Linked DNA regions of Anolis sagrei. The protein of the gene in region 2 interacts with the protein of the main gene of each other region in a biochemical or structural test. Links are inferred from orthologs where the notes say so. Each region holds a gene or a part of one and is shown on either strand. Other genes may lie near its edges.

Region 1 (7,039 bases), on a different chromosome or scaffold from region 2:
ATACTCCACTTTGGCAGAAAAAATGAAATGCAAAGATACAGAATGGGGGACGCCTGGCTCGAGAGCAGTACGTGTGAAAAAGATCTTGGAGTCCTCGTGGACAACAAGTTAAACATGAGCCAACAATGTGATGTGGCGGCAAAAAAAGCCAATGGGATTTTGGCCTGCATCAATAGGAGCATAGTGTCTAGATCTAAGGAAGTAATGCTACCCCTCTATTCTGCTTTGGTTAGACCACATCTGGAATATTGTGTCCAATTCTGGGCACCACAATTCAAGAGAGATATTGACAAGCTGGAATGTGTCCAGAGGAGGGCGACTAAAATGATCAAGGGTCTGGAGAACAAGCCCTATGAGGAGCGGCTTAGGGAACTGGGCATGTTTAGCCTGAAGAAGAGAAGGCTGAGAGGAGATATGATAGCCATGTATAAATATGTGAGAGGAAGCCACAGGGAGGAGGGAGCAAGCTTGTTTTCTGCTTCCTTGGAGACTAGGACGCGGAACAATGGCTTCAAACTACAAGAGAGGAGATTCCATCTGAACATTAGGAAGAACTTCCTGACTGTGAGAGCCGTTCAGCAGTGGAACTCTCTGCCCCGGAGTGTGGTGGAGGCTCCTTCTTTGGAAGCTTTTAAGCAGAGGCTGGATGGCCATCTGTCAGGGGTGATTTGAATGCAATATTCCTGCTTCTTGGCAGGGGGTTGGACTGGATGGCCCTTGAGGTCTCTTCCAACTCTTTGATTCTATGATTCTATGATTCTATCTAATCCAACCCCCTGCTATGTAGGAAAAGCATAAACAAAATACTCTTGACAGATGGCCATGGTCTTTTTCTGGAGATACGAAAGACTAAAACATGGACCTTCCTTTTTCTTCTTATGGTCCATGTCCATGCTAAGAAAGGCATCTAGCTTATAAAGTACAGACCCTGTATCCATGGGGGATATACACACACCCCCAAATGGGAAGTTTAGTTTCACAACCCTGGGTTTTTTGAGCTCCCTACAAATAACTTGCTTCTATTTTATCTCATTAGAGTTTTTAAACATTTTATCCTGTACATGTGGCCCACCCACTGTCATTGTGATTGTGTTTATTACAATGTTATTTTGTTACTGTTTTCATGTTTGTTTGTTTTTCATGTAATTTTGATGATGTTGCTTGTTGTTTATGTTTTGGTTTTATTTTGCTGTAATATGTTGTCCAGGCTCAGCCCCATGTAAGCCGCTCCGAGTCCCCATTGGGGAGATGGTGGCGGGGTATAAATAAAGTATTATTATTATTATTATTATTATTATTATATATTCCTGGACTTCACATGGATACATGAAACTGTGGACAATACCAAACCCTATTAGAGTAGAAGACTGCTGGCCCAAGAATATTATAGAGCAGGCATGGGCAAACTTCGACCCTCCAGGTGTTTTGGACTTCAACTACCACAATTCCTAATGGTGGTTAGGCAGTTAGAAATTTTGAGGGTTGAAATCCAAAACACCTGGAGGGCCAAAGTTTGCCCATGCCTGCTATAGAGTCATGCTGGGGGATCTAGAAAATACTAGAGAGGATGCATTTCATCTAACTTGGATACATGAAACTGATGTTATGGGTGCAGAAATACATATCAGGTTGTTATCCATGTTCCTACTGTATTTGGCATCCTTGAAGTGACTGGACTGACCTTGAAGGAGCTGGGGGTGGTGACGGCTGACAGGGAGCTCTGGCGTGGGCTGGTCCATGAGGTCACAAAGAGTCGGAGACGACTGAACGAATGAACAACTGTATTTGAGTATTTGAGTATGATTAGTAACCATACTCTAGATCACACTTGGATCCTTCTGGTGTTTCTGGCATCATCTCCCAGAAGTTTTGACCATTGGGAAGGCTAGTGAAGGCTTCTGGGAATTGAGGTCCAAAACAACTGGAAAACCAAAGTTGGGAAACCCCTAATCTAGAGTGTTAGATAGGGACAGACATGAGACAGTACTGAGGCTGAAGTACAAAGCTGCTTCTTCTTGCAAAGCAGGTCCCCTGCCAACAAGCAATGGACCATTTCTTCCCTTAGCCATTTCCCACTCCACAAAGAGATCGGTCTCATTTTAAGGGAAGTAATGCTACCCATGCTCTATTCCACTTTGGTTAGACCACACCTGGAATACTGTGTCCAATTCTGGCCACAGCAATTGAGAGATATTGACAAGCTGGAATGTGTCCAGAGGAGGGTGACTAAAATGATCAAGGGTCTGGAGAACAAGCCCTATGAGAAGCGACTTAAAGAGCTGGGCATGTTTAGCCTGAAGAAGAGAAGGCAGAGAGGAGACATGATAAGCCCTGAACGGTTTGGGACCTGCCAACCTGCATGACCGCATTTCTGTGTACGAACCCACATGATCTCTTTGATCATCTGGAGAGGCCCTACTCATGCTCCCACCTGCATTGCAAGCGCATTTGGTGGGGACGAGAGAGAGGGCCTTCTCGGTGGTGGCCCCTCGACTCTGGAACTCACTCCCTAAGGACATCAGGCATGTCCCATCTCTGGCAGTCTTCAGGAGGAGCTTGAAAACGTGGTTGTTCCAGTGTGCCTTCCCAGAATAATGAACCCTTAGCATTATGTCCTCCAAAAGCACTTTATACCGATTTAGGTCTGCTTGTATGTCTCCATCAACGCCCCACCTCCTTTATCTTGTTCATGCCTAGCATTATTTTTTAAACTTCAACTACATCTGGCCCAGCCATAGATTTTAAATGTACACTGTACCTTGTCCAATGTTTATGCTATTTGTGTATGAGATTTATTTTAATTGCTTTGTACTGTATTTGTTACTGCTTGTATTGCTTGTATTGTGGGCTCGTCCTCATGTAAGCCGTACCGAGTCCCTTGGGGAGATGGTAGCGGGGTATAAATAAAGTATTATTATTATTATTATTATTATTATGTATAGGGAAGAGGGCGTGAACTTGTTTTCTGCTTCCCTGGAGACTAGGACGTGATGGAACTACAAGAAAGGAGATTCCATTTGAACATTAGGAAGCACTTCCTGACTGTGAGAGCCGTTCAGCAGTGGAACTCTCTGCCCGGGAGTGAGGCTCCTTCTTTGGAAGCTTTTAAACAGAGGCTGGATGGCCATCTGTCGGGGGTGCTTTGAATGCAATTTCCCTGCTTCTTAGCAGAATGGGGTTGGACTGGATGGCTCATGAGGTCTCTTCCAACTCTTTGATTCTATGAACAACAACAATAATCCCCTCTCATCAGTCAAAAGCAGGCCCACACTTCCCATTGAAATACTAATAAGTTTATATTTGTTAAATGTGTTCTTCATTTTAATGATTTTATTGTTTTAAATGTATTTTGCACTACAAATAAGATGTGTGCAGTGTGCATAGGAATTCATTCATGTTTTTTTTCCAAATTATAATCCGACCCTCCAACAGTTTGAGAGACTGTGAGCTGGCCATCTGTTTCAAAATGTGTGAGGACCCCTGATCTAGTCCAACCCCATTCTGATAAGAAGCAGCAAAAATGCATTCTGTGCCATGTCAAGAGTTCCTTCCTATGAAGAGAAAATGGCCACAAGGATGCGGAGAAAGAAGTGAGAGAGGTCTCGAGGGACTCTCGACTGCGCCACCAGGACCTGGAGCGAATTTCCACGGCGCGTCCTGCATGGAAACACACCGGTGCGCGTCTCCGGGCGTGGAAGTTCCCCGTGGAAGCTCCACGCGCGGGAGGGGGCTTTGGGGAGGCCAAACGGGGGGCGAGGGAGAAGTTGAAGAGAGGGCCAGCCGCCTCTGAGCCTTATTCCCACGGGAGACTGTCGAAACGGGCGTGTCGGGATGGAATTGGGGTGCAAAAGGAGTGAGGACCACTCCGAGAAAGATGTGCGGGGATGAGAAGGGTTGTTGCCTCGAAGAAGCGCCTCTCTAGGGGAGGCTGGGAAGGGGAGATGCAAGTTGGGGACCCCTCCAGTCCCCTCCCCTCCCCGGCGGCGGGCGGAGCTTTCCTCCTGGTCCGCTCCTGGTCCGCTTGGGCTTGCTTTCTTGCTTGCTTCCTCGCCCTCCTTCCCTTGGCAAAGGCCGGGGGCTGGAAGCTAAAGCGGAGGGGACCCGATCCACCTCTTTTCCCCCCTCCTTCCTTGCTTCCCTCCCTCTTTTCCTGCCCCCCGCTGGGTCTGTCCTCTGCTGCCTCCTCCTTCTGTCTCTCCCTCTCCCCCCCCTCTCTCTTTGCCCCCCAAGATGCCCCCTCCGGCCTCTTCTTCCTCCTCCCCCTCCTGCTATAAAACCCTCCTGGGCGCGGGGCTGGGGCAGAGGGAGCCGCGCTGAGTGACCACTCCTCCAAGGACCGCTCCCGCCGCCGAGATGACCCCCTTGCTGCTGCTTCAGCTGGGCACAGGCAGGGCGCACCGGGCACCTCCTCCTCCTCCTCTTCTTCCTCCTCTTCCTCTGCTGCTGCTGCTTCTCGGCTTGCCTTGCCTGTCCCTCGCCCGCGCCCCCAAAGCCCTCCTGCCCATCCAGCCCGAGTCGCCGGACCCACTGCTGAATGCCAAAGGCGCGCCAGGTAGGAAAAGGGACCTGTCCTGGCATGCCAAGGAAGGAAGAAGGAAGGGAGGGAGGGAGGGAGGGAAGAAGGGGCAAAAGGAGGAGCAGAATGGGCTCCCCTTTGCCTTCCTATCAGGCTGAGAAGGTGTGACTGGCCTGGTCGCGCCAACCAAAGAAGAATCAAGATCCTTGAGTTGCTATTTTGAGTTTTCCCCATTTCCCAGAAGCATCCTCTCCTGATGTTTCGCCCACATCTATGGCAGGCATCCTCAGAGGTTGTGTGGTCTGTTGGAAACTAGGCAAGTGGGGTTTATATATCTGTGGAATGATGTCCAAGATGGGAGAAAGAACTCTTGTTTGTTGGAGGCAGGTGTAAATGTTGCAGCTAGCCACCTTGATTAGCATTTAATGTCAATAATAATAATAATAATAATAATAATTTATTATTATTATTATTATTATTATTATTATAAGTTTATTTGTACTCCACTAGCATCTCCCGAAGGACTCAATGTGGCTTACATAGGCCAAGGCCTCAAAACACAATACAACAAAACAACACCTAAAGCAAATTAAAAACAGTTAAGCAGTATGAACAACAAGCAATAAACAATACATCAAGACACTATAAAAACTGGGCCAGGCCAGAGTAATGGGTACAAGATTAAAAGTGCTGATGTGGCAGGAGGTATGTAGGATTATAAAGTAAGTGCAGTGTGCAGTGTGCAGCAATCTTAGTTCTACTAAAGTGCTTCTAGGACTTGGTATTAGAGATTCCTATTCTGGAAAGGCACATCAGAACAGCCAAGTCTTCAAGTTCTTTCTGAAGACTGCCAATGTAGGGGCCTGTCTAAGATCTTTGGGGAGGGTGTTCCAGAGTCGGGGGCCACCACAGAAAAGGCCCTGTCTCGAGTCCCCACCAAGCGTGCTTGCGACGCAGGTGGCATCGGGAGCAGGGCTTCTCCAGATGAGCGAAGTGAATGTGTGGGTTCATAGACGGAGATGCGGTCTCGCAGGTAGGATGGTCCCAAACCGTTTAGGGCTTTTTAGGTAAGCACCTGCACCTTAAATTGGGCTCGGAAGATAAACGGTAGCCAGTGGAGCTCCTTGAACAGGAGAGTTGACCTCTCTCTGTAATGAGCCCCAGTAAACATCCTGGCTGCTGCTTGTTGGACCAGTTGAAATTTCCAAGCCATTTTCAAAGGCAGCCCCACGTAGAGCACATTGCAGTAATCCAATCTAGAGGTTTTATTCATTTATTTGCTTCACATCACACTAGAGAAAAAAAATCCACCTAAAATCTGGTTTCTGCCTCCTGCAGAATTCTGGGGTCTGTAGTTTAGTGATGCTGTTAAAGCCTCCTCCCTAAACTATAAACCCCAGAATTCTGTAGGAGGCAGAAACCGGATTTTAAGTAGATTTTTTGGTATAGTGTGATGAGAACTTTAGAATCATAGAATCCTAGAGTTGGAAGAGAGACCTGGTGGGCCATCCAGTCCAACCTCATTCTGCCAAGAAGCAGGAAAATCGCATTCAAGGCACCCCTGACAGATTGCCTCTCCTCAAAGCAAATGGTGAATCATAGAATCAAAGAGTTGGAAGAGACCTCATGGGCCATCCAGTCCAACCCCATTCTGCCAAGAAGCAAGAATATTGCATTCAAAGAACCCCTGAGAGATGGCCATCCAGCCTCTGCTTAAAAGCTTCCAAAGAAGGAGCCTCCACCACACTCCGGGGCAGAGAGTTCCACTGCTGAATGGCTCTCACAGTCAGGAGGTTCTTCCTCATGTTCAGATGGAATCTCCTTTCTTGTAGTTAAAAGCCATTGTTTCGCGTCCTAGTCTCCAGGGAAGCAGAAAACAAGCTTGCCCCCTCCTCCCTGTGGCTTCCTCTCACATATGATAGCCACATACATGGCTATCATATCTCCTCTCATCCTTCTCTTCTTCAGGCTAAACATGCCCAGCTCCTTAAGCCTCTCCTCATAGGGCTTGTTCTCCAGACCCTTGATCACTTTAGTCGCCCTCCTCTGGACACATTCCAGCTTGTCAATATCTTTATTGAATTGTGGTGCCCAGAATTGGACACAATATTCCAGGTATGGTCTAACCAATATTCCTGGTGTGGTCTAACTATGAAGTACAACATAGTTAAAATGCATAGAAGCATAGAATCCTAGAGCTGGAAGAGACCTCATGAGCCATCCGGTGCAACCCCAGTCTGCCAAGAAGCAGGAAAATTGCATTCAAAACACCCCCAACAGATGGCCATTCAACCTCTGCTTAAACGCCTCCAAAGAAGGAGCCTCTCCCACACTCCAGGAAAGGGGGTTCCACTGCCGAACAGCTCTCACAGTCAGGAAGTTCTTCCTAATGTTCAGGTGGAATCTCCTTGGCTGTAGTTTGGAGCCATTGTTCCACATCCTAATCTCCAGGGCAGCAGGAAACAAGCCTGCTCCCTCCTCCCTATGACTTCCCCTCACACCTTCATACATGGCTCTCCTCTT
Region 2 (7,263 bases):
AAGCTTGTTTTTTGCTTCCTTGGAGACTAGGACGCAATGGGACAATGGCTTCAAACTACAAGAGAGGAGATTCCATCTGAACATTAGGAAGAACTTCCTGACTGTGAGAGCCGTTCAGCAGTGGAACTCTCTGCCCCGGAGGGAATGTGGTGGAGGCTCCTTCTTTGGAAGCTTTTAAGCAGAGGCTGGATGGCCATCTGTCAGGGGTGATTTGAATGCAATATTCCTGCTTCTTGGCAGAATGGGGTTGGACTGGATGATGGCCCAGGAGGTCTCTTCCAACTCTTGGATTCTATGATTCTATGAAATGAAAAGTTAGCATAACTCAAAAACCACTGGAGGAATTGACATCAAATTTGGACACAATACCCATATCAGGCCAATGAGTGACCATCACTCAGAAAAATACTGCGGAAGAGACTTAAATGGTCAAAAAAATAAAAAAATACACTACACTGCATGCACATAACCATATTGTTCCGCTTGACATTAAGTCCAGTCGTGTCCGACTCGGGGGTGTGGGTGGGGTGTTGGTGCTCATCTCCATTTCTAAGCCCAAGAGCCAGCGTTGTCCGTAGACACCTCCAAAGTCATGTGGACGCCATGAATGCATGGAGCACCATTACCTTCCCGCTGGAGAGGTACCTATTGATCTACTCACATTTGCATGTTTTCAAATTGCTAGGTTGGCAGAAGCTGGGGCTAACAGCGGGAGCTCATGCCACTCCCCGAATTCAAACCTGCAACCTTTCGGTTAGCAAGTTTAACAGTTCAGCGGTTTAACCCACTGCGCCACTGGGGGCTTCGGCATAACCACATGTGTATTTATGCATAAACAATATACACAAATATATACACACACATATTTATTTATTATTTATTTACAGCATTTATGCATAAACATATATACACATATATACACACACAAAACACATATACACAGACTCGGTCACAGCAACATGTGGCAGGGGACGGCTAGTGCATATAAATAAAAATGCAATGTTCATTTGTGGGATTAACACAACTCAAAAACCACTGGGCAAATTGACACCAAATTTGGACACGACGCACCTATCAGGCCAATGAGTGACCATCACTCATAAAAACACTGAAAAACACAGTGGAAGGGACTTAAGAAGCCAAATAAAAAATACATTGCAAAGCATGCGCAAAACCATATACACCCACACACATACATATATATGCAAACACACATATATACACAGATACAAAAATATATACACACACATATACACACACAAAACAGATATACACAAACTGGGCCACAGCAACATGTGGCAGGGGGCGGATAATAATAATAATAATGATAATAATAATAATAATAATAATAATAATAATAATAATAGTATCCTAGACACTAGGGAGTGTCTGACGTGTGATCCAATACAACAGCCAGCAGAATGTCTGCTGTGGACTCATCTTGTTAATAATAATAATAATAATAATAATAATAATAATAATAATCTTTTAAAAAAAGGAGACGGAGGAGGGCCTGATTCTGGCAGCACAAGAACAAGACATTCGAACCAAGGCCATCAAAGCCAGAATTGAAAAGTCAACAATAGATCCCAAGTGTAGACTCTGCAAGGAAGCAGGTGAAACAACAGATCCCATCCTCAGCTGGTGCAAGAAGATTGCGCAGACAGATTCCAAGCAGAGGCACAACACCCTTGCTCAGATGATTCATTGGAACTTGTGCCAGAAAGACCATTTGCCTGCCACAAAGAACTGGTGGGATCACAAGCCGGAAAAAGTTACAGACAATGAACACGTCAAACTATTCTGGGACTTCCGGATTCAGACAGAGTGAGTTTTGGAGCACAATACTCCTACCACATGATCGTGTTAAAAAACAAAGTATGGATCATCGATGTTGCAATCCCAGGTGACAACAGGATTGAAGAGAAACAACTGGAAATAATAATAATAATAATAATAATAATAATAATAATAATAGTCTATATCATTTACTGTGACATAGTTTTGGTGTCAGTAAAATAATAATAGGATAATAATAATAATAATAATAATAATAATAATAATAATAATAATAGGATGAAGTGCTTTTGCTCTTTGACATACAAACCTCACTGCATACTCCCACCAGTGTGAATCCTGACCTCAATAGTTTTGGGATGCAAGAAAAGTTGGTGTCTAAATATTATTCTTATTGCAATAATAGTAATAATAATAATAATAATAATAGGACAATAATGGGATAACAATAATAAGAGGATGCAGAGCTTTTGCTCTTTGACATACAAACCTCACTGCACACTCCCACCAGTGTGAATCCTGACCTCAATACTTTTGGGATGCAACAAAGTCGAGGTATAAATATTATTCTTATTGCAATAATAATAATAATAATAATAATAATAATAATAATAATAATGGGATAATAATAATAAGAGGACACAAACCTTTTGCACTTTGACACACACCCCTCCCTGCACACTCCCACCAGCATCCCAAAAACTCAGCCAGAGTGAACCCAGACCCCAGTATTTTTGGGATTATTATGATTATTATTATTATTATTATTATTGCAGTAAGAATAATATTTATACCCTGACTTTTGTTGCATCCCAAAAATAGTGGGGCCTGGGTTCACTCTGGCTGAGTTTTTGGGATGCAACAAAAGTCAGGGTATAAATATTATTCTTATTGCAATAATAATAATAATAATAATAATAATAATAATAATCATAATATACGATAATAATGGGATGATAATAATAACAATAATAATAATAATAATAATAATAAAAAGGGTGCAGACATTTTGCTCTTTGACACACACCCCTCCCTGCACACTCCCACCAGTGTGAATCCAGACCTCAATACTTTTGGAAGGCATGAAAAGTTGGTGTATAAATATTATTCTTATTGCAATAATAATAATAATAATAATAGGATAATAATGGAATAATAATAATAAAAGGATGCAGATCTCTTGCACTTTGACACACACCCCTCCCTGCACACTCTCACCAGCATCCCAAAAACTCAGCCAGAGTGAACCCAGACCCCACTATTTTTGGGATTATTATTATTATTATTATTATTGCAATAAGAATAATATTTATACCCTGACTTTTGTTGCATCCCAGAGTATAAATATTATTCTTATTGCAATAATAATAATAATAATAACAGGATAATAATAGGATAATAATAGGATAATAATAGGATAATAATAGGATAATAATAATAATAATAATAATAATAATATAGGATGATGATAATAATAACAGGAGGAGGGGGATGCAGACCTTTTGCTCTTTGACACACACCCCTCCTTGCACACTCCCACCAGCATCCCAAAAACTCAGCCAGAGTGAACCCAGACCCCACTATTTTTGGGATTATTATTATTATTATTATTGCAATAATAATAATAATAATAATAATAATAATAATAATAATATAGGAGGAAGATGCAGACTTTTTGCTCTTTGACACACACCCCTCCTTGCACACTCCCACCAGCATCCCAAAAACTCAGCCAGGGTGAACCCAGACCCCACTATTTTTGGGATTATTATTATTATTGCAATAATAATAATAATAATAATAATATAGGAGGAGGATGCAGACCTTTTGCTCTTTGACACACACCCCTCCTTGCACACTCCCACCAGCATCCCAAAAACTCAGCCAGAGTGAACCCAGACTCCACTATTTTTGGGATGCGACCAAAGTCGGGTGAGTTTGGCTTGACTTGGGGGGGTGTTGGGAAGAGCCCCCTTTCCCTTTGGGTGCCTCTCCTCCTTCCTCCTCCTCCTCCCCTTCAATTGCCACGCAACCCTTTGGCTTCTCCTTTGCCTTCAGCAGATTTTTGCTGAAACTTCTCCTCTCCTCCTTCTCCTCCCTCTTTCTGTATTATTTTTTCCTCCTTTTTTTCCTGAAAAGCTTCCAGGCAGAGAGAGAGAAAGAGGAGATCTCTGTCCTAAAATGCCCTTCTCTCCTTCCCTTCCTTCTTTCCCTTCCTCCCTCCATCTTCCCTGAAGAGAGGAGTGGGGGTCCTCCTGGACTTTCTTCCCCCTCCAGCCCCCTCCACCCAGCTTGGGGGGAGAAAAAAGGGGGCTGAGCCTTGGGATTGGAGCCCGCCCCTGCTCGCAAAGAGAAGAAGGGAAGGAGGGAGGGGAAAAGAAGGGCAGAGGAAAGAGAGAGAGAGAAGGAGGGAGGGAGGGAAGGAGGGAAGGAAGGAGGAGGGAAGCCCTCCCATCTCTTCCCACTTCTCTCTCTCTCTCTTCCCCCCCCTCCTCTCTCTCTCTCTCTCTCTCTCTCTGTCCCCTTTCCCACTCCTGCTTCTTTCCCCCATTCTTTCCCTCTCCTGTCATTGGTCTCGCGTGTTTGTGGCGTTCCGTGGGTCATTTCCCGGGACGCGCCAGCATGCCTGCCTCCCGTGGGGGCTTGCTTGTCCTTCTCTCTTGCCTGGTCCTGGGACAAGCTTTGGATTTTACCGACTACAGTGATGTTTTGGAGGAAGAGGAAGAGCCAGAGCCCATTGACTACAAGGATCCTTGCAAAGCTGGTAAGGACAAGGCTTCCCATTGCCCTAGACTAGAGAGAAAGAGAGAGGGGTGCCTGGGCTGCTCACCTTTGGGGTCTCCTTACCTGCATGGACTCTCCCTGGAGCCCCTTCTTGCTGGGACAGAAGGATGGGACTGTCAGGATGGGGGTCTTTTGGGTCTACACAACAAGGGAGCATAGTGGGACTGTCAGGATGGGGGTCTTTTGGGTCTACACAACAAGGGAGCGTGATGGGACTGTCAGGATGGGGGACTTTTGTGTCTACACAACAAGGGAGCATGATGGGACTGTCAGGATGGGGGACTTTTGTGTCTACACAACAAGGGAGTGTGATGGGACTGTCAGGATGGGGGACTTTTGTGTCTACACAACAAGGGAGTGTGATGGGACTGTCAGGATGGGGGACTTTTGTGTCTACACAACAAGGGAGTGTGATGGGACTGTCAGGATGGGGGTCTTTTGTGTCTACACAACAAGGGAGCGTGGTGGGACTGTCAGGATGGGGGACTTTTGTGTCTACACAACAAGGGAGCATGGTGGGACTGTGAGGATGGGGGTCTTTTGGGTCTACACAACAAGGGAGCGTGATGGGACTGTCAGGATGGGGGACTTTTGTGTCTACACAACAAGGGAGCGTGGTGGGACTGTCAGGATGGGGGTCTTTTGTGTCTACACAACAAGGGAGCGTGGTGGGACTGTCAGGATGGGGGGTCTTTTGTGTCTACACAACAAGGGAGCGTGATGGGACTGTCAGGATGGGGGTCTTTTGTGTCTACACAACAAGGGAGCATAGTGGGACTGTCAGGATGGGGGTATTTTGTGTCTACACAACAAGGGAGCGTGATGGGACTGTCAGGATTGGGGTCTTTTGTGTCTACACAACAAGGGAGCGTGATGGGACTGTCAGGATGGGGGACTTTTGTGACTACACAACAAGGGAGCGTGATGGGACTGTCAGGATGGGGGACTTTTGTGTCTACACAACAAGGGAGCGTGGTGGGACTGTCAGGATGGGGATCTTTTGTGTCTACACAACAAGGGAGCGTGGTGGGACTGTCAGGATGGGGGTCTTTTGTGTCTCTGGAGAGCCTGGACCCAAGTCCAGCCCATTGCTTAGCTGGCATCTGGCAGGCAAAACAAAGGAGGGAAAGTTTCCCTTCCAAACCCAAGCCCCATCTCTGGAAACAGAGCCACACAGCCCGGAAAACGCACAACAACCCGCTCTGACAATGCACGAAACACCATTTTCCCAAAGCTTCTCAAAGTTCAGACCCCACGAAACACCGTATCTCTCTTTTCCCAAAGCTTCTCAAAGTTCAGACACAACAAGAAAAGCCTCTTTGTCCCGAGGAAAAGTTTCCAGCTTGGAGAAAAGTCAGGCTTTGTGGACTTTGTCCCACCCCCCCCCCCTCTTATTCCAAAAGGAAATTCAGCTGAGCATTGATGTGTTTTCCTCTCTGTCCCTCCAACAATGCCTTGTGTGACAGGGGCTCTTTGTGCGGGCAGGGTGGCAACGGAAAGGGACCTGTGTTTGGGGGGTGTTTGTGGGTCGCAAGGGAAGTAAACACAGGCAGAGCCCAGGATGGCGGAGGCGGTCGGACTGGGCCGGCACACTGTGTCCTCCTCTTTTGGGGACAGAATTCTCCGCTTTGGGCAGAATCTGTCAACGGTGAGAGACACTGTGGCCGAGGAAAGGCATTGGATAGCCTTCGGTCAGTGGTTCCCAACTTTCCTAATGACCCAATAGTATAGTTCCTCCTGTTGTGGTGACCCCAGAGCCCAGGATGGAGGCATTCGGACTGGGCTGGCACACTTCGTCCTCCTCTTTTTGGGGACAGAATCTGTCAATGGAGAGAGACACTATGGCCAAGGAAAGGCATTGGATGGTCAGTGCTTCTCCACTTTCCTAATGCCACGACCCCATAGTATAGTTCCTCCTGTTGTGGTGACCCCAGAGCCCAGGATGGAGGCATTCGGACACACTTTGTTCTCTGCTTTTGGGGACAGAATTCTCCACTTTGCAGATGGTTTGAGGGCAGAATATGTCAACGGAGAGAAACATTGTGGCCGAGGAAAGGCATTGAATGGCCTACGGTCAGTGTTTCTCCACTTTCCTAATGCCACGACCCCGTAGTATAGTTCCTCCTGTTGTGGTGACCCCAGAGCCCAGGATGGAGGCATTCGGAGTGGACCGGCACACTGTGTCCTCCTCTTTTGGGGACAGAATTCTCCGCTTTGCAGATGGTTTGAGGGCAGAATATGTCAACAGAGAGAGAGACTATGGCAGAGGAAAGGCATTGAATGGCCTACAGTCAGTGTTTCTCCACTTTCCTAATGCCACGACCCCATAGTATAGTTCCTCCTGTTGTGGTGACCCCAGAGCCCAGGATGGAGGCGTCGGACTGGACCAGCACAATGTGTCCTCCTCTTTTGGGGACAGAATTCTCCACTTCGGGCAGAAACTATCAACGGAGAGAGACATTGTGGCCGAGGAAAGGTATTGGATGGCCTTCGGTCAGTGCTTCTCCACCTTCCTAATGCCATGACCCCATAGTATAGTTCCTCCTGTTGTTGTGACCCCAGAGCCCAGGATGGAGGCGTTCGGACACACTGTGTCCTCCTCTTTTGGGGACAGAATTCTCTGCTTCGGGCAGAATCTGTCAACGGAGAGAGACACTGTGGTCAAGGAAAGGCATTGGATGG

The links. The genes of interacting proteins can lie anywhere in the genome.
Region 1: of the proteins of BMP1 (region 2) and CHRD, one has a biochemical effect on the other in vitro, tested with the Homo sapiens proteins (3 studies listed by BioGRID and IntAct). The link is inferred for Anolis sagrei from reciprocal best matches to the Homo sapiens genes BMP1 and CHRD.

Annotation. Positions count from the first base shown.
Region 1 is NC_090023.1:261,954,252-261,961,290, forward strand, and holds the start of CHRD (chordin), read left to right. Parts: upstream 1-3,930; 5' UTR 3,931-4,353; coding exon 4,354-4,552; intron 4,553-7,039. UniProt on the Homo sapiens protein: Dorsalizing factor. Key developmental protein that dorsalizes early vertebrate embryonic tissues by binding to ventralizing TGF-beta family bone morphogenetic proteins (BMPs) and sequestering them in latent complexes.
Region 2 is NC_090027.1:1,873,649-1,880,911, reverse strand, and holds the start of BMP1 (bone morphogenetic protein 1), read left to right. Parts: upstream 1-4,204; 5' UTR 4,205-4,419; coding exon 4,420-4,561; intron 4,562-7,263. UniProt on the Homo sapiens protein: Metalloprotease that plays key roles in regulating the formation of the extracellular matrix (ECM) via processing of various precursor proteins into mature functional enzymes or structural proteins.